Linked DNA regions of Xenopus tropicalis. The protein of the gene in region 6 interacts with the protein of the main gene of each other region in a pairwise test. Links are inferred from orthologs where the notes say so. Each region holds a gene or a part of one and is shown on either strand. Other genes may lie near its edges. The genes, in order: arnt2, eif4enif1, alkbh4, abhd16a, stx12, dtx2 and sec22a.

Region 1 (3,500 bases), on a different chromosome or scaffold from region 6:
TTAGAAACAGAGAGGGTATCTAGTAAAGTGGCCAGAATTTGCTGTGGTAAGGGAACTGGAAGTGCCATCAGGCTATACCACAGTAAACAATAAGCCACTATTGCAGTTACATGTCTGACTAGTGTGTAGAGAAGAATTCCCCTGCCCCCCCTAATGATGCTTTACATTTCAGTTTGCTATAGCCTAGGACAATAATCCACATTCTCTAAGTTCAAAAGGTACAGAAAAAAAAATTCTCTGCTTAGATTACAACACTGGAGCCGCAGAAGACGTCCTGTCTAATATATGACATGCAGGCACTTTTTACCCCCAATAACTATACCCTTGTGGCGACAGGCAGACTAGAAAATACTTTTCATTTGTTAGAATAAAATTCCTTTTAGTGGAAGAATCTGCATTTGACCCCACCGTTTGCTCCATTTACAAACATACCTAAAGCGTTATTGAAAACACATACCGAGGCTCCCTGGGGTTCATTAACTCAGCTCACTGCTCTGACCTGTCCTGATCTGAACTCTGTAGATATCAGAGAACACGTAATTCCATTTTGGAATTTTAATGCATTAGTTGGAAGTAGAACCAAGCTAATTAAGGGCTTGGTAATGGTGAACCCAGATACCCCATGAAATACACCAAGGCAACAAGGGGGACTGGGATATGAATAAAGGTGCTTTGCCTATAAAGAGCCTGAGATGTTAATGTGATGGAACATAATAACATTAAAATTACAGGCAGTTATTCCAGCAAACATCTCAGCAAAACGAGGATCACGATCCTGGGAGAAGATTGGATCTGGCTTATCAACAACAGATTTTCCACCTTCGTGCACATTTGCTGCAAGGTTAGGAACAGGCACCTGTCAAGAAAGTCAGATGTTAGACACAAGAACATAAGCTGCAACAACACACAGCAAGATGCCACGTTGGGTAGAATACTCCTGCAATACCCACCTGCGACAAGTCATAGGAGGATAAACTATCCCTTGGATGAACTTCGAGTTCAGCCTGCTGCTGTTGAACCTGCCTAGGAACACAGAAACAGCTGCAGAAATACTGTAGGGCATAGGATCATGTGTCACTGAAGGCATAAAGAGCAAGCCCTCCCTGAGTGTAGCATCTGTGCTCTTATATAACCAAATAATCATATACTATATGAATAAAGACTGAAATAAAAGTATCTGCACCCAGAAAGCCCTGTAATGATTCGTTCAGGTAGGAATACTTGTATTTACAAATCATGCTTTCCTATCAGTGATGACCTGAAAAAGGATCAACTGCTATTTGTTTTGGAAGTGAATCTCAAGCTTTGGACCAATATTAAAAAAAAAAGCAGTTCAACTTAAACTGATTTTTAATATGATGTAAACAGCAGTATTCTAAAACAATTTGGAATTAGTCATTTTTTATGGTTTTGAAAGATGTATGGTTCTGCAACTACTAGGCCTTGAAATTCAGCTGCTGTATGGTTGCTAGGGCTCAGTTACCTTGGTAATCAAGTAGTAGTTTAGAAGTCAGAATGGAAGATCAATAGGAGAGGACCAGAAAAAAGGGCAAGAAATTAAAAATATAAATAGGAATAACATTATTCTGGTTGCTGGGGTCAGTGACTGAAACAATAGCATTCTCATTTGCAGGCTGAAAATAGGCAGAAAAGGAGCCCCAATAATTCAAAAACCCAGTAAAGACCATGTGAAAGATTCTTAGGTGAATATGCATAAAACTGCCTAGGTGATACTTTTTGCTTGCTTACTTGACATTAGTGTTGGTACAAATAATATACTCAATCTCATCCGAATATGGGTTCTGGAAAGTGAAACTGCTGGTACGAAGGAGCATCCAGTCCCGAGTCTTAGTGTGGAATCGGTACATCACTGATAATACCTGGCCTTTTAATTTAACCACCTGATAACCAGAAAACACAGAAGTATTAGTAAGAGAAGTGTTTAGAAATACATACAGTATCATTATAGTGTATGTATATAGTACCTGCAAGTTATGCAGCACTGTACAATTATATCAAATATAATAAATCACAATGCATTAACAAGAAATGAAAAAAGAGATTACAGAGAGAAACTTTTGCTGACTATACCATCAAAAGCAAGAGCCAGTATGGAACAAAGTGCTTTTTCTAATAATATATATGTATGGCCTATAGCAAAGCCTCTGTAACAGGACAGTAAAAAGTGTAATGTGAAGGAGTCAAGGAAAAAGGATATTAATGGCCAAATGTTATAAACAGAATTTTTTTTCCCAAAGTTAACAACTTACCATTATGTAAGCTCATAAATGGAAAAAGAGAGTCATTTATGACTGCAAGTGCAGTCACAGTTGCAGTCCTGCACGTAAAACCCCATTTATTAAAGGCACTTGCACCAAAATGCTCAGTCCTTTCTGCCTTCCATTCCGAACAAGCACAGTTGCACTTATCGACGCAGAGGAACTGTGGGGTTACTGCCACCTCCAGACTAAGTGGTAGCTCCAGGGCTCCCTGAACACCCTGCATTGAAGGGCACAGCAAACGTGTGGCTAAAGAATATGGCACACAAGTCAGTCACACAGCGAACCCCCAAAATGGTACCAACCGGACCCTGGCACAATTCTGTATGATTCGCAATGAATTGCAATAACAATTGCATTCATTTTGACAGTACAATGCCACCTTGCAACTGCAACAGTTCACTTGCATTTGCAGAACCCTAAACATATTGCTTAGAACTGGCTAATTAACTGCCCTTGGTTACGCACACCCTTTAAAAGGGAAATTATAGGAATATGCCCTTTCAAATCAAATTAGAATGCAAATGGGTTACCAGTTTATAAAAAGCTTAAAATGAGGCCATAAACATGTAAAAAAGGAGATATAGTTTAGTGTATGTAGAGATAGGATATGGTGAGTTTGTTTGTGTTAGAAGCAAAGTCTTAAGGGGGCACAATACAACTACAAACCGGTAAATGTGGTGCAGCTACCAAGAAAAGTTCAAAAAATATCTAAGCACATTGAAAAGGGTTCTTTTTCTTATGTGGTCATTATATGGTATACTCCACCACGAGCAGTGGGATTGTATTGAACTAAAGATATCTTTGAAGTGTGGTAGCATATGTTTTTGACAAGAAATTTTAAATTGGGAAACACTGAGGTAACCTGGCCAAGTACAACCCTTAATGTCACACATTTTTTTCTGGCAGAAGAAATAGTACCTGTTGGAAACTTTCACGGAGGTGGCTCTGGTCTTCTGGATGACAAAATTCAATGATATCTTTTCCAAGAAGGTCCTGGAAGATGCATAAAAGTTGCCTTTTGTAATGTAGTATGATTTTGTCCTAATTCCTAATCTTAGGGAAATTACAGGGGAATTATTCACCACCCGTGCATCCAAACCCTGCCTACCTAGGCCTGTATTAAGGATCTCCCAAAAAACAGCAGAATCTTTTGGTTAGTCTACACTCATTCTACATTATATCTAAAATAATACAATATTTTGGAATGCTCAGGACAGA
Region 2 (3,500 bases), on a different chromosome or scaffold from region 6:
CCTTGGGCTGGTACAGAAGCCCAAAACAATGTGCAACATTTCTGCCCTACTTCTTTAGTTAAGCTTTAATTCTCGTTTAAGTTTGCATGTTTTCATTAAGACCCATGTTCCTTTATCCTACCTGGGCATGGCCTGTTCTGAGTTGTGCACTTGCCTCATACAATAACATGAAGTCTTAAAGACACTAATTTGTAATAGTTTAACTCCCAATACCAATGTCTGTGCAATCTGGAGATTGTTGACATTGTTGTAACACAGAACAGATTGCCATTAGTCTACCTGTTGTTCCTGTCACAATAAAACACCTGAATTACTTTTCTTATGTTCAAAAAGTTATTTGTATCTATAAGTGCACTTAATGCTTTAAAGGAACAGTACTACCAGAAAATGAAAACATTTGAATTATAATATAATGTACTGCTGCCCTTCACTGGTAAAAGTTGTATGTTTGCTTCAGAAACACTACTATAGTTTATATAAATAAGCTGCTGTTTAGCTATGGGGGCAAATGCACAAATGGGAATCTGCTCATCCAATATGTTATTTGCTATGTAACCTGTGACTTTTCTCCTTTTTTCATTTTAAGTGCTACCTCCATGACTACACAGCCACTTTGTTTATATAAACTACAGCAGAGTTTCACACAACTTTTACTAGTGCAGGGCAATAGCACATAAATTACAGGTATGGGATCCCTTATCCGAAAACCTGTAATCCAAAAAGTTATGGAAATTTGGAATATGGAAAAGTTATGCAACTTATGGAAAGGCCATCTCCCATATACTTCATTATAAGCAAATAATTCTAAATTTTAAAAAAGGATTTCCTTTTTCTCTGTAATAATAAAACAGTACCTTGTACTTGATCTTAAGATTCAATTGAAAATTCCAGATTGAACCTAAACTAACTCCTGTAACCACTGTTGTCAGATTCCAAAAACTCAATGGTGAAGGCATGACAACACAGTAGGGGTAAAGGGGAAAAGAAAAAAGGCTCAATATACTTTATTGCATGAACTCTCACCTTCTCATGTGTAATGGCCAAACAAGATATGCGGTAAAAACACCAACCCACTGCAATTTAAGTCAGATTCCACTTGCCTTCCTTTCCTGTCCGCTTTCTTGTCCTCTTGCGGCCCTTGTGATCCTCTTCCAGGATTTTATCATCAAAGCCAGTAAGCTCAATTGTCTCCGACTGGCTAGTGGGACCCCCAGAGAACCACTCTGGTTCCTCCTCTGTACAAGAGTCATTTCTACGTCTCTCACCAAATACACGTTTACTGTCTCCATGCTCTCGCTATGGCAGAGAAGACAGAGGGGGGGGGGGGGGGAGGAAAAAAAATAAAAACATTTAGAGAAGCTAAAAACAACAAGTTAACAAGTCTGGCACATATCAAGCCTTAATTTCAGTTTAATAAACTAAATGGATTTAAAATATGAATCACTGCATTTGCCCTCCTCCTAAAGGTCATTAAGGATATGACCAAACCTTCAGGTCTGCCAACCTTGTCAACATTGGTTAGTAAAATGAAGTTGCACCTTTAGTTTTAGACTTCAAAAATGTATAGTTGGATGGCATAATGGTTACAGATTAAAAGGACAAGTCAACCAAGAATATAATTTGCCTAATAAAAGAAAAAACATTCCAAGAAACTTTGTACTTATATATATATATATATATATATCTGGCATTTGAAACAATGTCACACACACACACAAGGCAGCAGATTGACAGAACTGACTAGGAGGAGCCTGACCTATGCAACATTGTGTAAAAAGTAACCAGGAGTTCAGCAAATGCTGCTTTCAATAGCAATTACATTTACAAATAACTTTTAAAAGCACAGAAAATTTTTAATAAAATCATTGTAAAGTTGCTTAGAATTATATTCTTTTATTAGGCAAAAAATTATATTCTTGGTTGACATGTCCTTTAAAGCATTTTGCACAAACACTGATCCACAGAATGACAACTACAAAATATTTTATAAATGCTTTTCTAACATTTCCGACAATATGCTTTTTGAGGGTGGTTTTAACAAAAAGGCTTGTGGGAAAACCATAGGCACAAGTTTTAATACACGGTTTACAGGACATTTAGTACAGGTGCTCGATATAGATATATATTTGGGGGAAGACCTAATATACCAAAGTCCTCACTTAAATCTGAAATATGTTACAAGGCACATAAAGGCCATGTCAGAGTCTGAAGTTGGAGCTTTGCAAATCCCAGGTAACTGTATTAGAATAACACTGTCATCAAACCAAAAGGGTAATTTTAAGGTACACCACCACTCTTTAATGTGACATCACTCTTCCAGACCTCTTATGGGTTGTTAATCTATGTTGTGAGAGATGCAATGGACAACGATTATTTGTATTTCCACCAGTGTTAAAGGCGGGGTACAAGTAGCACCAGGTAAAAGGCCTGGTTTTGCAACAGGTAATACTGTGTTTAAGTTACTAGCTTAGAAAAAGCAAAATTAATAGGTCCCTGGAGTGAATGGAGGGAGAGCAGGAAAGACCTTCCATTCCAAACTCCAGTTAACGTTTTCATTTGGCCAGCTGTAGTGTAGCTGCCCGATTAGGCTGCAGGTGAGCAGCAAATAAAATGGCTGTGTGATTACACAGGGGGGTTGAGCAGGAGTGGGGCACAGGGCAGGAAGGCTGCCTGCCTGCGTAAGGAACTCCCAGAGGAGCTGGGGATGCCTCCTGCCACTGCGAGGAGCAGAGGAAGTCGTGACCAGATGGATGAGAGCTGGGAGGAGTCAGCAAGGCTTAAGGTGAAGCCTGAGCGTTCATGAGCGAGAGTTGCTGTGGATGTGTGAAAGTCACTGGGGACAGTGAGAAACCCCGTAAAGGTTCCAAAGTGTGGAAGTAACCTTGGAAGGTGAGAGCCCTGAAGAAGGGACAAATCATAACCCTGAACTGTTTTAGTTAGTTCTGTCTGTTTATTTAGGGCCAATTCTTCCCAACATCAACATGTGTTTTGCCTGAAGTTGCACCCCTTATGCTCCAAATCCTCTGCATGCCTGCCTACCATTGCTAATTCCCCAAAAATTATGTGTACAGGCAGTCAGCATGTCACATAGTATCATTTGTTTTAGAACAGGACTCAAGGTAAGGATATATAAAATAAAGGAAGTTTCCTTCTCTTAATTTCTTGATAAAGTCAACAGAACAGAGCACTAACTGGACAATGATTTTGTAAGAAACATTTATAGTCCTCGCAAACATCCAGTATTAAATCTAGCTGCCCTCCAGCACTTTTCAGCATACAACTAAAAATGATTGACTGCTATTTGGAGGAATTTTAGCTATCTTTATTAACAAATCAGTTTAATACACCTCATGTTAAAGTTACTTTAGATCAGGATGTAACATCAGCATTCCGTGATGCAAGGTTTACACACAAATCTTAAGACAGAAAACTTACCCTGAAGCGTTTGTCTTTGTATTCTTTTTCTCTGTCTCGCCCCTCTCTGGGTTCTCTATCGCCTC
Region 3 (4,199 bases), about 48 Mb from region 6:
AACGTCCAGTATGTGCAAAATATTTTACCTGCTTCCTTCGTCCAGACTGCGAAAGCCGCCACTCTTCTTGATCCATAAAATTTACCAAGTGTTGTTCCTCATCCTCCGTCACAAAGTCTTGTATCAGATACACACCTGGGAAATGAAACCAGCAGCCATCAAGTCCCTTTGCTATGCCTTCTAATGGACTGTATATGAAAGGTAATTTCTGCAGAATAAACAAAATATGTTAAGAGGTAACAATAACTCAGTGGTTAATTTTGCCTTAATATCCATTTGTTTCCCATGAATAAAATATGAAGGTGTATATTACATGGTCATACAGCTGATGCAGCAAATATGGCAATATCTACTCATACATATCAACAGAAGACCAAACAGAAACAAACTATCAGAAAGTTATATGCCCACAGCAAGCCTTGTATGCTGCTTAAATAGCATAAAGTACATTAAATATAAACTCTAAAGCATATGGCAGTGATGCCAGTGATCATTTGCCTGTGTCTGTATGACCTGCTATATTTACCAAGGAGCTCAGCATTTCCCCAGTAATCAATAAGAACAGTATCTGCCAGAATCTATAGAAGTGCTATCCATGGCTGATTTGGAGACCAATGGAATATGTTTTTTTTTATGAATGCAAGGTCTCCCATAACATTTGCTTGGAAAAGTGACGTATATCAGAAAAATCTCAGGTGACAAAAGTAGCAGTAACAATAAGTGCCTTGACTGTTAAGATCTGCAATATAATTGAATTATTTGGAATAATAATGAAGACTGGTTGTAGACTGCACACATTTCCAGTGTATGTTTGCCTATGTGTAGGGTATACAAACAATAGACAGTAAATGCAGTTATCAACAAAGAACAAAGAAGTAAAATGCTAGTCCCAAAATAGTGTGAAAATCACAACAGGGGGTGAAAAATGATATATTCTATTCAAAAGAACCAATGAGCCAGACTTCATGGAGCCAAACTGGTCAGAGACTACACATGAATATATTTGTTACCCAAATCATTCATTTGTAAACCACAGTACAAAGCTTTCTATGCATATTCAACCACACCCAGGAAGTACCCAGGTGCATAGTTTCCTAAGCTACCCATAAATGTGCAACAGGAAGGGCAAGAAAAATTAAATTTCTCCATAGTATGATGGCTGATTGCACCCGTAACAAAATGACCCTCCAGTACCATTTGCTGTACTGTGGATTTGGTGCTATTCTAACAAACAATTTCTGATACATTACTATGGGAAGCAGTGACCAATGAAGTGGGCATTTTCTCTCTCATGGCAGTAGTACTAAAGCCTGACATAAGCCTAATATTCTTTGGGGGAGACAGTGGGTCTGGGATAGCCGATGTGCTACTGCAACATGATGACAAAGCACTTTAAGGCACTTGTGACTTTGCACTGGATAGAAAATGTAACCCAACGTGCAAATTACAGGGCACAAGGGACCAATGTACTTAAACTACTCCTCCCTTGGTGCTCTTCCCTTATGCATCCTTGCAGCACTGGGGCCATGAGATCTATTTTATGTGCAAGGTAAAGGTGTTTAAGGGACTCCTAGGTTCAAATAATTATCCTCCAGTATATTGTGCATCAGGGCCCAGGCAGCAGTGCATTCTGGACAAGAAGCAATTAATTTCAATAATTTCCCCTGCAGGGGCCGGATGTGAATTCTAGGTGGGTAAGATGCAGAAAACATGGTGCTTTGCTCCTGCTTTGTCGTCGGTATGTATTTCAGGGGCAGTAAGCTTTATTTTGCCCTGATCATAGTGATAACAAAGGCAACCCTGATACCACCTACCACAGAGAATCAAGAAACCAAACATGTATATTGCACTAGGAAGACATCTCCAGATGCTTTTTCTCTGTGCTTTATTATAATGAGATCATTTAAAGTTCTATTGTATAGGAGGGGGTGGGAATCCATGACTAGCTCTGCATTTACTCTGCATTGTTGTTTCAGTAACACCATGTTTTTGAATAGATGTGCATACAGAATCTACATTTTAATTAAAGCACATTTGCAAAGTACATATTGTATACTAACTGGAGTGATTGGTTTAATTAAACTGGTTTAATGAAAAAGTAAAACTAAATTTCAGTTTAACATTATTTTCATCCATGAACTGTACCACATGACTATCTACACAAGTGCCACACTGATATACTCTCAGCACTTGAATTGTTTGCCCTCACCTGCCCAAGGGGATGCAATTGTGTTTTGATAAATGCAGTGTGGCTATTTCTTGTGTTGCACTACCTTTATAACAAATTACCACAACTGAATTGTTTAAACTTTGCAGGATTAACCCAAAGCTGGCCCAGTGGAGCTGACCTGCTGGTTCTCACTTCTGAAACAATGTAGCCATGGCAGCTGATTAACAAACCTGACTTCTGCTACAATGTTTCAAGAGTCACAGCCAGAGTACAGAAAGGGATAAACACATTGCATTTGTATCACAAATTAACTCCACCATTTTTAAAGCATACATATTGCTAAGATGCAATTCACTGTCCTATATAAGCCAATATCTAATTAAGACAACTGACGGCGAACTTGCTGCTGCCTTGTTACTATTCCCACCAACCAATAGCCAGAGGCGTCTCATCGCAAAGCAAGCAGGTCGGACAACGTGGTCACATCCCCAGTTGCTAAGTACCTTATGAAGCCCCTTAGGTGCCCCCGTTGCCCCACGCTCACACAATAAACAGGACCGGATCCCTTTACACCCACAGCCCTTCCAGGCATCGCAAACAACCTCGGCCATAGGCGACTAAACACACTAAAACACAGCAATTGCATCTATTAGCAACTTCCGGGTAATAGTACCAACCCCGGAAGTGATGTCATGCTAGCGGGAGATAGAAGTTCGAAGGAAAAAGTAGCCGCTGCATGAGAGTTCCCCGGGAGTGGAAGCCAGCAGGAAGTAAGTGTCCCGCTATTTAGCGCTGTATTACTTGCCTATTCGGCATTATAGGCTTCACTTTGCAATATGTGGTGGGGCTATTTAAAGGGCAATGCTCTTTTCTGGGTACATTCTAGTAGCAAAAGGATTGGTCGCTTAAACACATAAAAGCTAATTGTATGTATATCTTGTATATCTTTATTTATAAAGCGCTACTTATGTACGCAGCGCTGTACAGTAGAATACATTAATATAAACGGGATTATTAAGATAATAATAGATAAATACAAAGTACAACAATAAATACAGATAGATACAAGATAAATACAGTTGCAATAAGTTAAGAGTCAAAGACACAAGAGGATGGAGGTCCCTGCCCCGTAGAGCTTACAATCTATATGGGAGGGTAACTAACAGACACAAATAGGCAAATATAAGTGCTGTAGGTCACAATGGGTGACACTACAATATAGGTGCTAGTTCCCAGATCAGGTGCTGGGTGAGTGCTCCAAAAGGTAGTCTTTAAGTTTAGTTTTAAAAATATATATTTATCTGGCATTTACAGCCATTGATTTTTTCCTCCGTGTCTAGAAGTGACTATCATATCAATACTGTATGGGCATAAACAGTCATAGGCATCACAGGCACAGAAGTGTCTCTCACTTCTAGGAAAAGTGTTATTTTTGATGTTTTGCTTTGGTGGGGAAGGATACATCCTTGCAACTGTGGCTTTGATATTAGGGCAGGTCATTATGCAGAGGACTTATCTGCTGACTGGTAATCTGTTTTACTAGTTGTTTTATTTTTTGTTCTGTGCAAGAAATAAAAATCATAGATATTCCTTAATTAAAGGAGACCAAAAGGTATAAACACTGGGCTAGGTGCTAAAATGTTTGCCCCCCCCCCATCCCCGTTGATAATAATCACCTGATACCTGGGACCAGTGCTCATGTTGGGTAAAAGCAGCATTGGTCCAGGGTATTTTTGTAGAAGTTTATGGTTACCATCTTGTTTGGCTTCTTCCTTCTTTTTTTCCATTTTAGTCTAGGCAGGTGCATGCGCAGTAGAGTAAAAAATCAAAGATTGACACAAAAAGCTGGCCTTTTTACTCTAATACACATGCACTTACCCATCATATTCTTTTTAATCTTTACAAAGATATTAACACCTGAGAAGAGAAGACAAGTACATAGGTGTATGAAGAAGCAACAGTAATTCAAAATGAGCAAAATTACTGCTGACGTCCTGCTGAAGGAAGGGCTTCCTAAATCCATTCATCT
Region 4 (3,500 bases), on a different chromosome or scaffold from region 6:
AGCACAGTAACAGAATTTATCCAAAGCGCATATTAAGGGCCCCCTAATATGATTTTTATGTCTACAGCAAAGATCTTAAAAGCACAGGCCCACTTGGGGGAGTTCCTTTACTCAAGCCAGATCCTCGTCCACGTGGGACTACAGACAATGTGTTACAGAGGATTCAAAAATTACCATGTCAGATTACCAGGTAACAGCTTTGCCATTCTTCTAATTAATATGGCACAAAGGAAATCAAATTCTACTATAAAAAGTGTGTGTATGTATATATTTATATAATATATAGTACACAGGGAGGAGCACACCCTATACAAGTCCAAATGCCCTTGGTGCAGGTCAAAAACAAATATATAATAGAAACCAGAGTGGTTTGTCCCTGAGGAAGAGCACTGGTTGTGCTTGAAACGTTGGAATTTTTTCAATAAAAACACTTTTTTCTTTTGTATCAAGTCCCTGTGTGTGAGCGATTTCTTTCTATTTAGATATACATACATATATCTATACATAAGTATTCAGCCAAACACGGAGTGATTTATTAGTTAAGTATATAACAGCTGACAGGGTTCATGTGCCTCCATCCTTTTATATTTTGGTTCTGTACAAATGGAATTACCAAGGAGGGTTTGTAAATAGTTTTTTATATTGGTATAATTCAGGACTGAGATAATAGAGGCCACTCTTTTTTTATTCTGGATTGACCCTTGATACATGCATGTGCACATACAAAGCCAGGCCAACTTATGACCTGTTTAGGTAGTTTAGACACTTGTTTGATGTAACCAGTATTAATCAGCTAAAAACCAGAATGATGTCATAGGGAGACAAAACATTGTCTTATAATGAATTGTTAAGCTATATGTTGGATATAATAACAGTTCTTGGAAACATTAGAAATATTTAGTGACCATATGCAATTTACATCCTTTGAGGAATGCACAGTATAGTATGGAATTCTATGTGCAAATGCTTCTTCTTGTAGTTTTGGTTTCTGCATATGTTTCTTGCTTGATTCAGAGTAGGTAAGTAATCTAATAAATGCAATATTTTAATTATCCCCTTTCCTCTCAGTTATGCAGTAGCTCACTCATTTGGCAGGCGTATGTTGTACCCTGGCTCAGTATACCTATTACAGAAGGCTCTCATGCCCATGTTGTTGCAAGGGCAGGCCCGTCTAGTGGAGGAGGTGAGAGACTACTTTGTATAGCCACTTTCTTTCCATTCCAAATTCTATTTGTGTCATTTTGCCTTTTTACATATGTGCTCCACACAGGTGTGTCTCACATTATCCATGTAACAACCACTACATGGTCATATTTACTCCTTTATCCCTCTTTTTAGTATAATGGAAGGCGAGCCAAGCTGCTGGCATGTGATGGGAATGAGATAGATACAATATTTGTAGACCGCAGGCACTTAGGAGACAACAAAGGAGCTAAGCTGGTAAGAGTTGTTTGTGCTTGCCCAATACCAATGTATATTTCACTTTCTGTTTTAACAATCTCCTACCCAAAAGACTAAGGAGCCCTGGGCATTTTGATAACCAGTTTATATTGATTCCCAGCATTTTTCCCATACTTTTCCTGGGACAAGTAGCCAAAATCAAAACTCCCTTAGTCACACAGTCCTTCTTATGTTTCCAATTTAATATTTGGTTTTTTTATTAAGGTTATATGCTGCGAGGGGAATGCTGGATTCTATGAAATCGGCTGTGTCTCCACACCACTGGAAGGTCAGATTTAAGTTTCTAGTCAAGTATAACATTTACGTTTATTGAATTAGTATGATTTAGATTAAATGCAACTGTTGTTCGTATAATAGGGGAGAGTGTTAGTTCAGAAGATGTTGGCAGAATCATAAACTAATTATTATTGTGCTTGCAAGTACTGGATAGTTCAAATCAGCTCCATCTGACAGAGCAGTCCCTAATACTGCACAAGATTTCTTAAATGTATGCCAGCCTCTCTCCTCCTTATAGCAGGTACTTTTTGCTTACTGATAAGTCTCTTTCTTGTAGGCCTGTAATATTTTCTCCATGTTCAGACATGGTGAGAGGGGTGCAGTGAGCATGGAGGGAGGAGTAAAGATTTTGATTGCTTTGTCCTGACTAAACACACAAGGACTGCTCCTATCTATCTGCACTGTCATCACAGCCTTACAAGAAAAGGATTTGTCTGTAAGTTTACAATCTTACCTTTATTTTGCTATAGCACACATTTAACTGCGTTTGCAGCAATAGTGACTTTCACCGTTGACATTCTTTTCTTTAGTATGTTTGCAAACCTAGCAATCTATGCATTCTCTTCGCAAGCTAATTTTCTTATGTATTTTATTTCTTATGATGAAAGCCATAGCAGAGTACTTACAAATGCTTAAAATAATGAAATATAATTTGTCAGAACTGTATTATATATGCAATTTTCTATATAAATGCTTATATAATGCTTATATATGCTTAACTTGTAATGGCATACTAGCACCAAGATAAAAAAATACTTATTCTAGAGATGCTTGCTCTCTTAAAAGCCGACAGAGAACAATGAAGGGCTGCACTGTTTAACCTAGATAACCACAGCCAACTGCTCAGCACTGGCAAATGCTATCCTACTGTCTGACCTTTTGTTAGTATATTTTAGGAATTTAAAGCTAAATAACCTATAGTATGTTTGTTTGCTTTTTGTATAGTTGATTGGCACAATTTTTAACAGAGAAATTGTTGCTGCAGCATATGAATATGGGCCTGCCTTTTTTGTAATGCTTGGTTTCACTGTTTTGCAGCTGGCTATTCAGTCCTTGGCTGGAATCATCCTGGATTTGCTGGTAGTACAGTAAGTTATGTAATTACTTTGAATCCATACATTTTAAATTGTGAAAAGTAAACAATAACAGGTTGCTAAGTCAGGTTACTTCACTCAAAGGCTCAGCAAGCTAATTCTGGTTATTAGCAAACCAGTTCAGATTATATTAGTTGAATGTTGTGGTGCCCTAGGCATGCCACACTCTTCTACCAAATTGGTGCATGCCTAACACAGTCTATACACAAGTAATTATTGGTTAGGAGTGGGGTTCCCCCACTATCCCTGAGCTCCACTGCCAGCACTGAGCTAAAAAGAATGCTGTTGACCTGGGCCTTCAGGTGCCTGTACAGAACATTCACCCTGATGGTGGATACAGTTTACTGGAATTGTAGCATAGACTGAAAACATGCTTTTGATGAAAAATATGCCTAATGTAGAAGCCTAAAAATATAATGTGAACATTTGGTTATACAGATCATTATACAGATGGGGTTTCATGTGTTCTGCACAAATACATATAGTTCTCAAGGGATTAAAAAAATCATTGTTTTTATAATTATGTTTTATTGGGCGAAAACATTGTTTTTTTGGAGAGTCTGTATTACAGTATTTGGGTGTATAGCATAAAGAGTGGAGGTAATGGAGGTGGTTTGCACCAGTAGATTAGTTGATAGCATAGATGTATGTGTAATCTAGTGATTTATG
Region 5 (4,057 bases), about 11 Mb from region 6:
AGATTATTTTTTTCCTTTTAACAAATTTAAAAAAGGTACTGAGATCAGTATCATGGGAAGACTTCTTATCCGGAAAACCCCAGGTCTGAAGTCTTCCAGATAACTGATCCCAAACCTGTACAGGTATGGGATCTGTTATCAGGAAACCCCTTATCCAGGAAGTTCCGACTCCCACTGACTCCATTATAAGCCTATAATTCTAATATTTTTTTTAAATGTCCTTTTTCTCTGTAATAACAGAACAGTTACTTGAACTTGATTCCAACTAAGATAAAATTAATCCTTATTGGTAGCAAAACAAGCTTATTGAGGTTAATTTTTAAATAATCTTTTAGTAGACTTAAGCTATGGAGATCCAAATTACAGAAAGATCCCTTATCCATAAAATCTCAGGTCCCTAGCATTCTGGATAATAGGTCGCATACCTGTACCTGTGTTTTTTTTTTTTTTTAATAGAAATTTATATTTATTATTGATATTCCTTTTCTAGGCCATCTCTAATGAGTTACAACTAAAATATTGCACCTTCTTTATTTACCTGTACCAGACTTCAACTTCTTTTTTAGAAATGGCTGCTGTTTTGAAGATGTTGGGCTTTGGGTGTGGTACTGACCCGACAAGGCTGGAAGTACTGTTTAAATCAACCTTGACTAGACAAGTGCCACAGGTAAGTAAAGGGGGTAGGGGGATGCCAGGCTTCAGTGTTAAAGCTTTAGGTTATGGAAGGAACCTTTTTCACCAACAAATTCCTGTGAAAACCTGTAAAGTCTCTGTATAAATTATATTTGCTGAACATGCCCAATAAAACATTACCTATCTGAAAAAGACTATGTAACTTCAACCTGTACCGCACTTCATGACAACAGTGCACCTTATATCAGTATGACACAACAACACACCTTGACAGCATACCGAGAAGCTGAAAACACAGTTATCAGATCTCAGCAGTGTGCTGTTATCAGTGCAGAATAACTGGGCCATTCCAAAACATACAATAACAGTCATTTGTAGGACAGCAGCAATTTTCCTGTAAACACTGCACTGTGCTAGTCTATAATTACAAAAAGAAAAACAGCAGCATAGTGAACAATGAACAAAAAATCTCATTACATGAATTACGTCCTTGCTATATCCACTTTTAATTAGAGGCTCTCACATGGAGTGCACATTTACCACTTCTCATTAAAAATACTGAATATAATTAAGATACTATCATCTCAAAAAAACCTTTTTAAAAAAAAATACCATGTCAGTCCAAGCCTGCTTGAATCACAGTACAATGAATGTTCTGTTATAAAGATAACTAGATTCTCAGCTATAAAGCAAGACAGGACTGACTGCTGCCTTCTTAGACTAAGGACATTAATCATGTGATTTCACTTTCAAATGGAAGCGGAAACATAGGATTTTTAACAAGTAAAAATGTAAGGTATTTTCCCCCCAAATTCCTTTACTTTACTAAACCTAACATGACCAACAGGCAAAGTGTAATTTTGTTAAAGATGCCCCTTTAAGATGGTTAAGGAATGGGTATGTTTGGATAGTAAATGTCTTATGTCTAGTCCAAATAGAGGGAGTGACAAATTGCTCTTATGACGTATTTACTACTATTCCATGGCATCCTTTAATTAAGAGCTGAACACTTGTTTAAGAATGAAACTACACATAGACTTGAAGAACAGAGGCCAGTAGTACCAAGACTCCATATTTATTTATTTACTTACTTCTGGGGGTATGTAATGATTGGCAGAAGTCAATACTGTGAATCTAATACATAATGATATACAAGAAAATACATATTTCCTGCCAAGTCTCATTCATTCAACATGATAAATCACACATTATGAACTCCTATCCTGCTGTCATGCTGGGAGGAAGGAAATATTACAATTTCATGGCCCCTGCCTGACCTGGTGAATCCTGCTTGTGCCCACGCCCAAAATTTTCTCTGAGCTTGCAAAGCAGTGATCAGGCAGTTAGGGGGGAACAAAAAACCCCCATGGAGTAAGGCAGGAATGTAACCCACTCAACACAAATTCAGTAAGCGAGGGTAAAACTGCTCAGCCTGATTTCACTGGTTGCTGAACTACATTTCTACAAATGCTGCCTTTAGGATAATATTGTAATGTGTAGTTTAACCACAGCAAGAGCCCAACCAGGTGACAAGCCTAACAGTAGTAACTTCTTGGTAACAGTAACCCAATCAGGAATCTCCAGTAGGAAATGACTTCCCACTGCACTTAGCTCCCTTCCTGCCTGTCACCCCTGCTTCTCTGTGCCCCTCTGCCAATGAACATGCCAGCTGATAGCTGCTGTACTGTACACCCACCCACCAACCAACACAAGGAAACATTAGTTGATTTTTGTCATTTGCCAACTGTCCAGTCTCCATATATGCAATGCTATATAAATAATTTTCTCTATTTCCAGCTGTGTCAGTATAGCCGCCCTTCCTGTACATCAGTGGGTGTGTAGCACCTGGGAATTACACATAATACAAGGGGCCCATATAACATGTTAATCTCTGTTGTCCAAAAGTTCCCATTGCCAATGGCTAACAATTCGTCCTTCAAATCTCCACCAGTACCCCCATCTATATACTGCGGGTGTGTGCAGCTCGCTGCGATCACGGATATATATACAGGAATAGGACCGGTGCTCTGTAGAAAAACTGGGGATACTGACTGTTATTTGTGATCCTCTGCACATTGCCGCTGCAGGTCTGAATAATGCTGTTGAAGTCCCGGGCACGGCTCTGCTGCTTCATGTACCCAGACATGTTGCTCCTCTTAGGGCCCCGTCCTCCTTTCTGAGTATAAGAGATGGTGGGATGAAGCGACTCTAAGGAAGTCGTGATGTCATAGCCATGTGACCGTGATGTCACGTAGGAATTGTCAGGCTCCTATCAGCGATAAGCGCCTCCCAGTCATGATACCACGTGACAGCTTGGAAAAGATGCTGTTGTTGCCACTCCTTTAAAGAGAACAAGGAATGCAAATGTAGAATTCTGCTGGTTTATAAAAATCAGCAAGTGCGCCTTTGGAGGATGGGGTACTTAATATCCCAGGTCCTGGAGCAATTGCTGGGTCTAATTATTTTTTTTTCCCTACACCCCTAGTACTTGGATTTAATGGAGGGAGATGAGAAATATGCTGGGTGCACATGGGGGACAAGTATTGTGATCTTTAGTAAAATGTTGTTTACCTGTACAACAGGTAAGCAGTTGAAGCATAGTGTGTGATATGTATGTTCAAGGCTGCTGTTAAAGGGCAAGGTGATATATACAGGAATTATATATGAGTGATGTGTAGGCTGGGACTGGCAATCTATGGGTTCTGGCAAATGCCAGAGGAGCTGCTGTAAGATGTTATAGACAGTTAATATTTATTGGGCTGGTAGAGGGCTGTTTGGACCTCTTGTGTACTTGAAATGCCAGGGCCTATTTTGACTCCCAGTCTGGACATGGCGATGTGTAATATCTGTTGGACTTCTTGGGAACTCTGAATGCTGAGGGAGGGCAGTTTGGTAAGTCCATCAGTGCCAGTGGATAGCAGCGTTTTATGTATGGATGTTTCTGGGGGTTGCTAGATAAGAACTGTGATTGGTTATTTGGTAGCCCCTATGAGGACTGGCAGCATACAGGAGGCTCTGTTTGGCAGTACACCTGGTTTTTATGCAACTAAAAATTGCCTTCAAGCCAAAAATTAAAAAACAAGCACCTGCTTTAAGACCCCCTGGAGAGACATCTAGGGTTAGCGAGCACTATGTTGCTCACAAGCCACTGGTTAGGGATTACTGTTCTTACAGAGGCAAGTGATGAGTATTGTGCCACGCAAAAATCTTTGCGTCACTGCATTTTGAATCATCTTTAAGAAAGTATTGTGTGTGTGGGAGGTAGAAATACGGTAGTTTGAATTAGCAGAGGTGCGCCAGGAATTTTTAAAAAAAGACCCCTTAACTGCTCTCCTCTTTCCCATCCCATTATCATCCTCTCTTTCAGAGCCACCGTCAGGGGGAGAGGGGTACTGTTGTGCAGTGCTCGGTGAAATAATCTTCT
Region 6 (3,500 bases):
TTCTTTTGTGGAGGATGAAATCCTGGTTGAATTAACATGGTTGAAAAGGTTAAAAATCTACACTTGCCTTAGACCAGTTCAGAAGAAAATTATTTGATTTGGCATTGTAATCAAAGGGTACCTGTTAACCAATATAGATCAACAAGATTTGGATAATACAGAATGCATTTCTTCATACTTTATTTGTTTATATTGTTCCTTTGGTGAGGAAAATTGTGTTCCTGTCATTATCTATGTTTGAGGTACTAGCTATAAAAGGGTGATGGCACACTAGATTAGTCATCTGTGGTAAATCGGAGCCACGGAAGGCAACTAATCTCCTGAAAAGGCTTTTCCAACACTAATAATCCCAGGTGGGGAAACATATGCATCTCTTATGATTTTATGATTCCCCACATGCAATTTACATTATAGCAGGTAGGAAGGAAACTAGGGTTGTTTTTTTGCCTGCTGTATAACAGATTTATGGTGGGCATTGCGGCATATTGTGGCACTGCACTAAAGACCCATGGCAAACAGGGCATATTTTCCCCTAATGTACAATGCAAAAGCAGGGAAAAAGCTTTTCAGTCTAAACAACTCTTTTTGGGATAACCTCTTTACACCATTACATCATATGTATAAAGTTGGCATATAAATGTCTGAAATTTCCATTTTATTTGATTTGTTTTTAACAAGTGGAGCAACATCTAGGAATATCTCCAAACATTTTTGCAATCATACCAAAATGATCTCACACAAGTGAGAAAGCGCTAAATGTGCCATTGCCCTAAAGGGAAATGTCTGATATAGGCACTTCAGAATTATTCTTTTAAAATATTCTTTTAAAACAAAGCTTATTTGTTTGGCAAATAATAAAACTGATACTTGGGGCTATGGCAGACTTTTTCAATTATATAATATACCATAAAATACACCATGAAATATCCTTTTCTCCTGGTATTACTACTGGAAAAAAAGATTGGCCTCTTACCTGTATCTTGCCTAAACTGTGAAAGGGTTGGAATATCAATAATGTATGGTGCCAGTTTAGGATCAGCTTTTCCAAGAGATATGCTGTTGCTGTTTCCATAGGCTCGGAAACCTTTCTGCTGTGAATATGACACCATATATTGTTCAATATAGTTGCTCACTGCACTGCTGTATGGTCGCCATTTGTTATGCTCATCTTGCCATTCCCAAACAGCAACAGAGGCATTCCACTGATTAGACACCGTAGGAAGTCCTGAGAAACTAGGAACCCCACCACCTGGTGGAGGAGCAGCTGCCATCTGAAAGGAATGAGCGTATTATCCAAAAAATATTTTTTTACTGTTCTTGGTTTTCAGAACTAATTTCTTTGGGTTGCAACTCCTTTTTCGTTCACCATTGTACAAACCTAAAAAAGATAAAAAAAAAAAAAAAAAACATAATTATGGATAAGTAGCACAAAAATAGGATTCATTTTTAAACTAACTGGGAAATAAACAATGTATTAGTTGCTGCGACATCTCACCAATAAAACTCTAGATACAAACAATATAAAACATGAAGAGAGTTTTTCAATTTTTATAGAAACAAATGGTTAGTGATCTATACCATGTGTGCATTATATATTACAGAAAACAGTCTTCCTTTATAATATGCCTCAGATATCTGTGAGCTGGAAGAGATGTTTATTAAATATTTAATAGGTTAATAGGCAAATCCTATTAATCTATCCACTGTAGCAGTATATTGTAAATGTATCCACCCAAAACACTTGGTTTGCTCTAATAACAGACAAGGTAATGAGCAGGCTTGCAAAAGGATTGGTATTTTGCTGACCAGTACAAGTCTGCTTGCCACCACTGTTATTAAAGGAGAACTAAGCCCTACCCTATTTCTAGCCACCCCTCCACCCCCTCCCCACAAGAGATATTCTGTTTTAAGTCTTCTTATAATGGAATTAATTAGCTGATGTGTTTAGATGGGTCAAATCTTTGTTTCAAAGTCAAATTCAGGAGAAAACACCCATGTGTAAGAGCCACTATAACAACAGCTTTCATGTAATAAAGTATGTAATGCAATCGTGAAGGTTTGAAACACCCATTAACCCTACTTATGATTTAGGTAGTGATGTATGAAGTGTGTTAGGCAAAAGATTAAAAACTCCTGTTCAGGTGGAAGGATGAGAGACTTTAACAGATGAGCATTTCTTTACATGGTTGTTTGTGGTGGTTCTTTCATGCATTCCACCACGAGGATTGGCATGAAGAAACGCAGCCTGTTCTTTTCAATGCCGTAGGGCAGCAACTTCCCTGCAGCAGAGTAAGTATAAACTTTCTGAAAATAACAGAATGCATTAACTCCTGCATTCCCCTGCCATGGAATGCATGAAAAATCCACATTATTGAAACGCAAGAAAAACTGTCTGTAAAAGCCCTAATGGGATAGAGAGGGACACCTCCTTTCTCTAGTTTCTGACTTAGTATATCAAGCCTATCTGAGGAATTATACTGTCTTTATGAAAACCTCCCCCAAGGAAATTCTAGACACAAGAGGTCACTAACCCCAAGAGGAAAATAACAGGCCTATATATTATTCTAATAAAAACTGAAGCTTACTAACTCAGCGGAAGTAAATACAAAAAAAAAAAGACACTTCACAGCTGTGGGCTACATATGGGGAACTATTTTTTTTAAATGAAGACATAGTACAGACAAACTGAACTAAAGACATAGTACAGAAAAACTGGACACATTATCCTTTGCAGGAAATAAAGGTTTTAAATTAAAATACATCACTCTCTTACTTGCCAAGCGTGTTAACCTTCAACAAAAGCTAACACTCCCTGCCAATTCTCCCCAGGCAAACCGTGTTCCATTTTCCTCCCAATAATTTGCAAACTCATTTTCACTTTAAGCTAGCCAGGTCTCTTCAATAGAATCAGAATGAAAACAGAAACTCAATAAAGGTAAAAATCCCCTCAGTTCAGTAATAAACACTAATGTACATGTTGCATCATTCAAAATGATGTAGGCACATTCCTCAAACACTTTATATTTCGATAACAAAAAAAACACCTTTAGCTATTTCACAAAAGGCTGGCCAATAAACTAACTCCCAGCATATGATTACATTACTAGGTGCTCAAACCCACACCTCAAATGCACAAAACAATGAGAAAAATATCTGAAGTGGTGAAATGTATAAAAATACATCACTCAACCACACTGTATTAATAAGCCCATATGCATTTGTTTGTGTTCAAAATGGTAACTGCGACATTACATTTTTATGGGTAATGGCACACAGAGCATGCAAGCATATTCCGACTGAACGAGTGGATGACAAAATACTTTGAATCACAACTCTCCCATTAACTTCTAAGGTAATAATCTGCCCCTATTCACGAGTGCATTCACGAGTCATGTGATTATCACTCACAAATGCACTAGTTGGTGTTTTCAAGTGTTAAACGCCTGACCCACAAGCACATCTGTGAGTGCAGGCAATTACTGTGAAAAACACTGCTTGTA
Region 7 (4,201 bases), on a different chromosome or scaffold from region 6:
GAGCTGCAACTCCCTGCAACCTCGGGTTTCCAATGGCGAGCTGGGAGCTGTACAACCGGTGGGTACCCATGCCCACCCTATAGTAGGTCTGCTATAAATACCCACTCACCTGAGCTCCAGCCCTGCACAGTTGGCACAGATGCCATTACACGGGCAGAGACAGCAGATCATAGCTTTAGTTACCCTTTAATCATACTAATGAATTAAAGGGTAACTAAAGGCAACATGAATAAGCAGAGCTCTTGATCCTCAGGCTAGCAATCAGCTGGCAGGGTCTCACACAATCCCCCCCCACACATGAAGGAATTGTACAGATCACTACAAACCTGAGGCCCAAGTTTGTTTCTGTTGTACTGAGTGACCCCAGGCAGCCCCCCCCCCACGCGGGCACCTACCTCCTTTTTGGTCTGCCCCAGAGTCTTTGCCTCGGCTGGGGTGCAAACACACAGAGCAGATTCCAGCCCGAAATGAGTGAACAGGCATTATTGGGCAAGAATCTGCCCCGTGTATCTGCCCCCAGGTGCAGGCAGGGACCCTAGGCAACCCAGCTTGTTGCTCACACATGGGGGGCAGAACTGTTGGGGGGTGATACAGTTGGAGGAAAGGGCCCGGAACTAGGGGTAGGTAAAATAAGAGGTGCCCTGCCCACCGCCCCCCCACTGTTACACCCTAGGCAGGTTTTGCCCGTTCCTAGTGCCGACCCTGAGGAGGGGACAGGGAAGCCTGGCATTTAGTTGCCTGTGGCTCTTCCTTTCTTTGCCTCACAGTAAATATCACTGCCAGTTGTGTCTGAAATCTTTCTGGGTTCCCTGAACCTCTCACTTCCCACTTCTGGATCAGACCCTATATACCTCTCATGCACATAAACAGCCCCAGCCCGATACCCCTACACATACACTTACCCCTACCAACATACTACATCTATGGCAACTGTGCAAGTATGTGAAGCTCAGTGGGGGCGTCTATGTGTATGTATGGGGGGGGGATATAGGCTCAGCAATAGGCACTTGTTGAGGGGATATAGGCCCAGGGATAGGCGCGTGTGGGGGGGATAGAGGCCCAGGGATAGGCGCGTATGGGGGGGGGGATATAGGCCCAGGGATAGGCGCGTGTGGGGGGGATAGAGGCCCAGGGATAGGCGCGTGGGGGGGATAGAGGCCCAGGGATAGGCGGGGCGGTATGGCCGGGGGCGGTGGGGGATAGAGGCCCAGGGATAGGCGCGTATGGGGGGATAGAGGCCCAGGGATAGGCGCGTATGGGGGGGATAGAGGCCCAGGGATAGGCGCTGTATGGGGGGATATAGCCCAGGGATAGGCGCGTATGGGGGGGGATAGAGGCCCAGGGATAGGCGCGTATGGGGGGATAGAGGCCCAGGGATAGGCGCGTATGGGGGGGATAGAGGCCCAGGGATAGGCGCGTATGGGGGGGATAGGGCCCAGGGATAGGCGCGTATGGGGGGGATAGAGCCAGGGATAGGCGCGTATGGGGGGGATAGAGGCCTCAGGATAGGCGCGTATGGGGGGATAGAGGCCCAGGGATAGGCGCGTATGGGGGGGGATAGAGGCCCAGGGATAGGCGCGTATGGGGGGGATAGAGGCCCCAGGGATAGGCGCGTATGGGGGGGATTAGAGCCCAGGGATAGGCGCGTATGGGGGGGATAGAGGCCCAGGGATAGGCGCGTATGGGGGGATAGAGGCCCAGGGATAGGCGCGTATGGGGGGATAGAGGCCCAGGGATAGGCGCGTATGGGGGGGATAGAGGCCCAGGGATAGGCGCGTATGGGGGGATATAGGCCCAGGGATAGGCGCGTATGGGGGGGATAGAGGCCCAGGGATAGGCGCGTATGGGGGGATAAGCCCAGGGATAGGCGCGTATTGGGGGGGATAGAGGCCCAGGGATAGGCGCGTTGGGGGGGATAAGGCCAGGATAGGCGCGTATGGGGGGATAGAGGCCCAGGGATAGGCGCGTATGGGGGGGGATAGAGCCTCAGGATAGGGCGGGGGGATAGAGGCCCAGGGATAGGCGCGTATGGGGGGATAGAGGCCCAGGATAGGCGCGTATGGGGGGGATAGAGGCCCAGGGATAGGCGCGTATGGGGGGATAGAGGCCCAGGGATAGGCGCGTATGAGGGGGGATAGAGGCCCAGGGATAGGCGCGTATGCGGGGGGATAGAGGCCCAGGGATAGGCGCGTATGGGGGGGATAGAGGCCCAGGGATAGGCGCGTATGGGGGGGATAGAGGCCCAGGGATAGGCGCGTATGGGGGGATAGAGGCCCAGGGATAGGCGCGTATGGGGGGATAGAGGCCCAGGGATAGGCGCGTATGGGGGGGATAGAGGCCCAGGGATAGGCGCGTATGGGGGGGATAGAGGCCCAGGGATAGGCGCGTATGGGGGGGATAGAGGCCCAGGGATAGGCGCGTATGGGGGGGATAGAGGCCCAGGGATAGGCGCGTAGTGGGGGGGATAGAGGCCCAGGGATAGGCGCGTTATGGGGGGGATAGAGGCCCAGGATAGGCGCGTATGGGGGGATAGAGGCCCAGGGATAGGCGCGTATGGGGGGGATAGAGGCCCAGGGATAGGCGCGTATGGGGGGGATAGAGGGATATGTCTGTGGGGGTCTATACAGATCCTATAGTGATATCTGTACCCCCACATGCACACAGAAATACATTCCTATACACACCCCCCTATATACACTCATCTACTTACCTACCTCCGCTCCGTTCTTCGCTTCCCGAGGCCCCGGCCTCTCAGGTCGGACCCCCGGGCTCACAGCAGCTTCAGTCCCACAGGCCCGGCTCCGCCTACGTGACGTGTCCTTCGCGCTGCATCCTGGAACCTCAGTGCGGGCAGCCATGCTTCTCGGGGTGCCATGGTAACGGAGGCGGGGTCTGCAGGTAGCTAGCGGGAACGCCCAGTCTAACGCTGACCCTTGCTAGCCCCGCCCCTCCCGTACCTGCCCAATGGCTGCCCCGCCTACACGTCACATGACCGCTACTAATTTCCTTTGTCTCTCCCTGTGACAGGGCTTTGAGCCTCCGGCTATGGCTTGGCCTGACCAACTGCATGGCGGTATCTTTCTCCTCAGGCCGGGGCCAACAGTCTCCTACAGGCAGCTGCAATGGTTTCTCATAATTGTCTGACATTTCTGCCCCATATTGTGTGAGTTTTGCTGACTGGAAACAGGATTTAGGAGCTGCAGTACCAGATACTGTCACTAGGGAGCGCACCTTTATAAGCCATAGCAACTGCCTGTAAAGGGTGGAACTGCCTGATTTATTGTACTTACCTCTCCTCATAGAACCCACCTCCCTTTATGTTTTTATTGTGCCCTTATCCAAATTGTTTCTTACTTTCTGTAACTTTATTTCCATTAACATTTTTCTCTGTGTATTACATCCTTTTCATCCACTGCACCTATTATACATGGAATTGGCACTGTATTTATCTGCTGTGGGTTCTGGGGTATTATACATGGAATTGGCACTGTATTTATCCTGCTGTGGGTTCTGGGGTATTATACATGGAAATTGCCACTGTATTTATCTGCTGTGGGTTCTGGGGTATTATACATGGAATTGGCACTGTATTTATCTGCTGTGGGTTCTGGGGTATTATACATGAGAATTGGCACTGTATTTATCCTGCTGTGGGTTTCTGGGGTATTATACATGGAATTGGCACTGTATTTATCTGCTGTGGGTTCTGGGGTATTATACATTGGAATTGGCACTGTATTTATCTGCTGTGGGTTCTGGGGTATTATACATGGAATTGGCACTGTATTTATCGCTGTGGGTTCTGGGGTATTATACATGGAATTGGCACTGGTATTTATCTGCTGTGGTTCTGGGGTATTTATACATGGGAATTGGCACTGTATTATTCCGCTGTGGGTTCTGGGGTATTATACATGGAATTGGCACTGTATTTATCCCGCCTGTGGGTTCTGGGGTATTAACATGGAATTGGCACTGTATTTATCTGCTGTGGTCGGGGTTACATGATGGCCGTATTATTCCTGTGGGTGGATTATACATGGAATTGGCACTGTATTTATCCCGCTGTGGGTTCTGGGGGTATTATACATCGGAATTGGCACTGTATTTATCCCGCTGTGGGTTCTGGGGTATTATAACATGGAATTGGCACTGTATTTATCCTGCTGTGGGTTCTGGGGTATTATACATGGAATTGGCA

What was found.
Region 1: the proteins of dtx2 (region 6) and arnt2 interact in binary tests that used the Homo sapiens proteins (3 or more experiments, as listed by UniProt). The link is inferred for Xenopus tropicalis from reciprocal best matches to the Homo sapiens genes DTX2 and ARNT2.
Region 2: the proteins of dtx2 (region 6) and eif4enif1 interact in binary tests that used the Homo sapiens proteins (3 or more experiments, as listed by UniProt). The two-hybrid records come from large-scale screens. The link is inferred for Xenopus tropicalis from reciprocal best matches to the Homo sapiens genes DTX2 and EIF4ENIF1.
Region 3: the proteins of dtx2 (region 6) and alkbh4 interact in binary tests that used the Homo sapiens proteins (3 or more experiments, as listed by UniProt). The two-hybrid records come from large-scale screens. The link is inferred for Xenopus tropicalis from reciprocal best matches to the Homo sapiens genes DTX2 and ALKBH4.
Region 4: the proteins of dtx2 (region 6) and abhd16a interact in binary tests that used the Homo sapiens proteins (3 or more experiments, as listed by UniProt). The two-hybrid records come from large-scale screens. The link is inferred for Xenopus tropicalis from reciprocal best matches to the Homo sapiens genes DTX2 and ABHD16A.
Region 5: the proteins of dtx2 (region 6) and stx12 interact in binary tests that used the Homo sapiens proteins (3 or more experiments, as listed by UniProt). The two-hybrid records come from large-scale screens. The link is inferred for Xenopus tropicalis from reciprocal best matches to the Homo sapiens genes DTX2 and STX12.
Region 7: the proteins of dtx2 (region 6) and sec22a interact in binary tests that used the Homo sapiens proteins (3 or more experiments, as listed by UniProt). The two-hybrid records come from large-scale screens. The link is inferred for Xenopus tropicalis from reciprocal best matches to the Homo sapiens genes DTX2 and SEC22A.

The regions. Positions count from the first base shown.
Region 1 is NC_030679.2:108,902,130-108,905,629, forward strand, and holds part of arnt2 (aryl hydrocarbon receptor nuclear translocator 2), read right to left. Parts: intron 3,276-3,500; coding exon 3,201-3,275; intron 1,902-3,200; coding exon 1,750-1,901; intron 1,024-1,749; coding exon 951-1,023; intron 857-950; coding exon 730-856; intron 1-729. UniProt on the Homo sapiens protein: Transcription factor that plays a role in the development of the hypothalamo-pituitary axis, postnatal brain growth, and visual and renal function. Specifically recognizes the xenobiotic response element (XRE).
Region 2 is NC_030677.2:152,099,751-152,103,250, forward strand, and holds part of eif4enif1 (eukaryotic translation initiation factor 4E transporter), read right to left. Parts: coding exon 3,436-3,500; intron 1,297-3,435; coding exon 1,101-1,296; intron 1-1,100. UniProt on the Homo sapiens protein: EIF4E-binding protein that regulates translation and stability of mRNAs in processing bodies (P-bodies). Plays a key role in P-bodies to coordinate the storage of translationally inactive mRNAs in the cytoplasm and prevent their degradation.
Region 3 is NC_030678.2:46,224,180-46,228,378, reverse strand, and holds the start of alkbh4 (alpha-ketoglutarate-dependent dioxygenase alkB homolog 4), read right to left. Parts: upstream 2,801-4,199; 5' UTR 2,782-2,800; coding exon 2,674-2,781; intron 1,692-2,673; exon of another isoform or gene 542-1,691; coding exon of another isoform or gene 527-541; intron 209-526; coding exon 29-208; intron 1-28. Other genes in the region: lrwd1 (leucine-rich repeat and WD repeat-containing protein 1), read left to right, coding at 4,141-4,199. UniProt on the Homo sapiens protein: Dioxygenase that mediates demethylation of actin monomethylated at 'Lys-84' (K84me1), thereby acting as a regulator of actomyosin-processes.
Region 4 is NC_030684.2:74,883,371-74,886,870, forward strand, and holds part of abhd16a (protein ABHD16A), read left to right. Parts: intron 1-67; coding exon 68-190; intron 191-1,068; coding exon 1,069-1,183; intron 1,184-1,338; coding exon 1,339-1,440; intron 1,441-1,665; coding exon 1,666-1,729; intron 1,730-2,775; coding exon 2,776-2,825; intron 2,826-3,500. UniProt on the Homo sapiens protein: Phosphatidylserine (PS) lipase that mediates the hydrolysis of phosphatidylserine to generate lysophosphatidylserine (LPS). LPS constitutes a class of signaling lipids that regulates immunological and neurological processes.
Region 5 is NC_030678.2:83,639,054-83,643,110, forward strand, and holds the start of stx12 (syntaxin-12), read right to left. Parts: upstream 2,801-4,057; 5' UTR 2,780-2,800; coding exon 2,686-2,779; intron 1-2,685. UniProt on the Homo sapiens protein: SNARE promoting fusion of transport vesicles with target membranes. Together with SNARE STX6, promotes movement of vesicles from endosomes to the cell membrane, and may therefore function in the endocytic recycling pathway.
Region 6 is NC_030678.2:94,403,247-94,406,746, reverse strand, and holds part of dtx2 (probable E3 ubiquitin-protein ligase DTX2), read right to left. Parts: intron 1,379-3,500; 5' UTR 1,272-1,378; coding exon 974-1,271; intron 1-973. UniProt on the Homo sapiens protein: Regulator of Notch signaling, a signaling pathway involved in cell-cell communications that regulates a broad spectrum of cell-fate determinations.
Region 7 is NC_030685.2:88,971,108-88,975,308, reverse strand, and holds the start of sec22a (vesicle-trafficking protein SEC22a), read right to left. Parts: upstream 2,801-4,201; 5' UTR 2,715-2,800; exon of another isoform or gene 2,703-2,714; intron 1-2,702. UniProt on the Homo sapiens protein: May be involved in vesicle transport between the ER and the Golgi complex.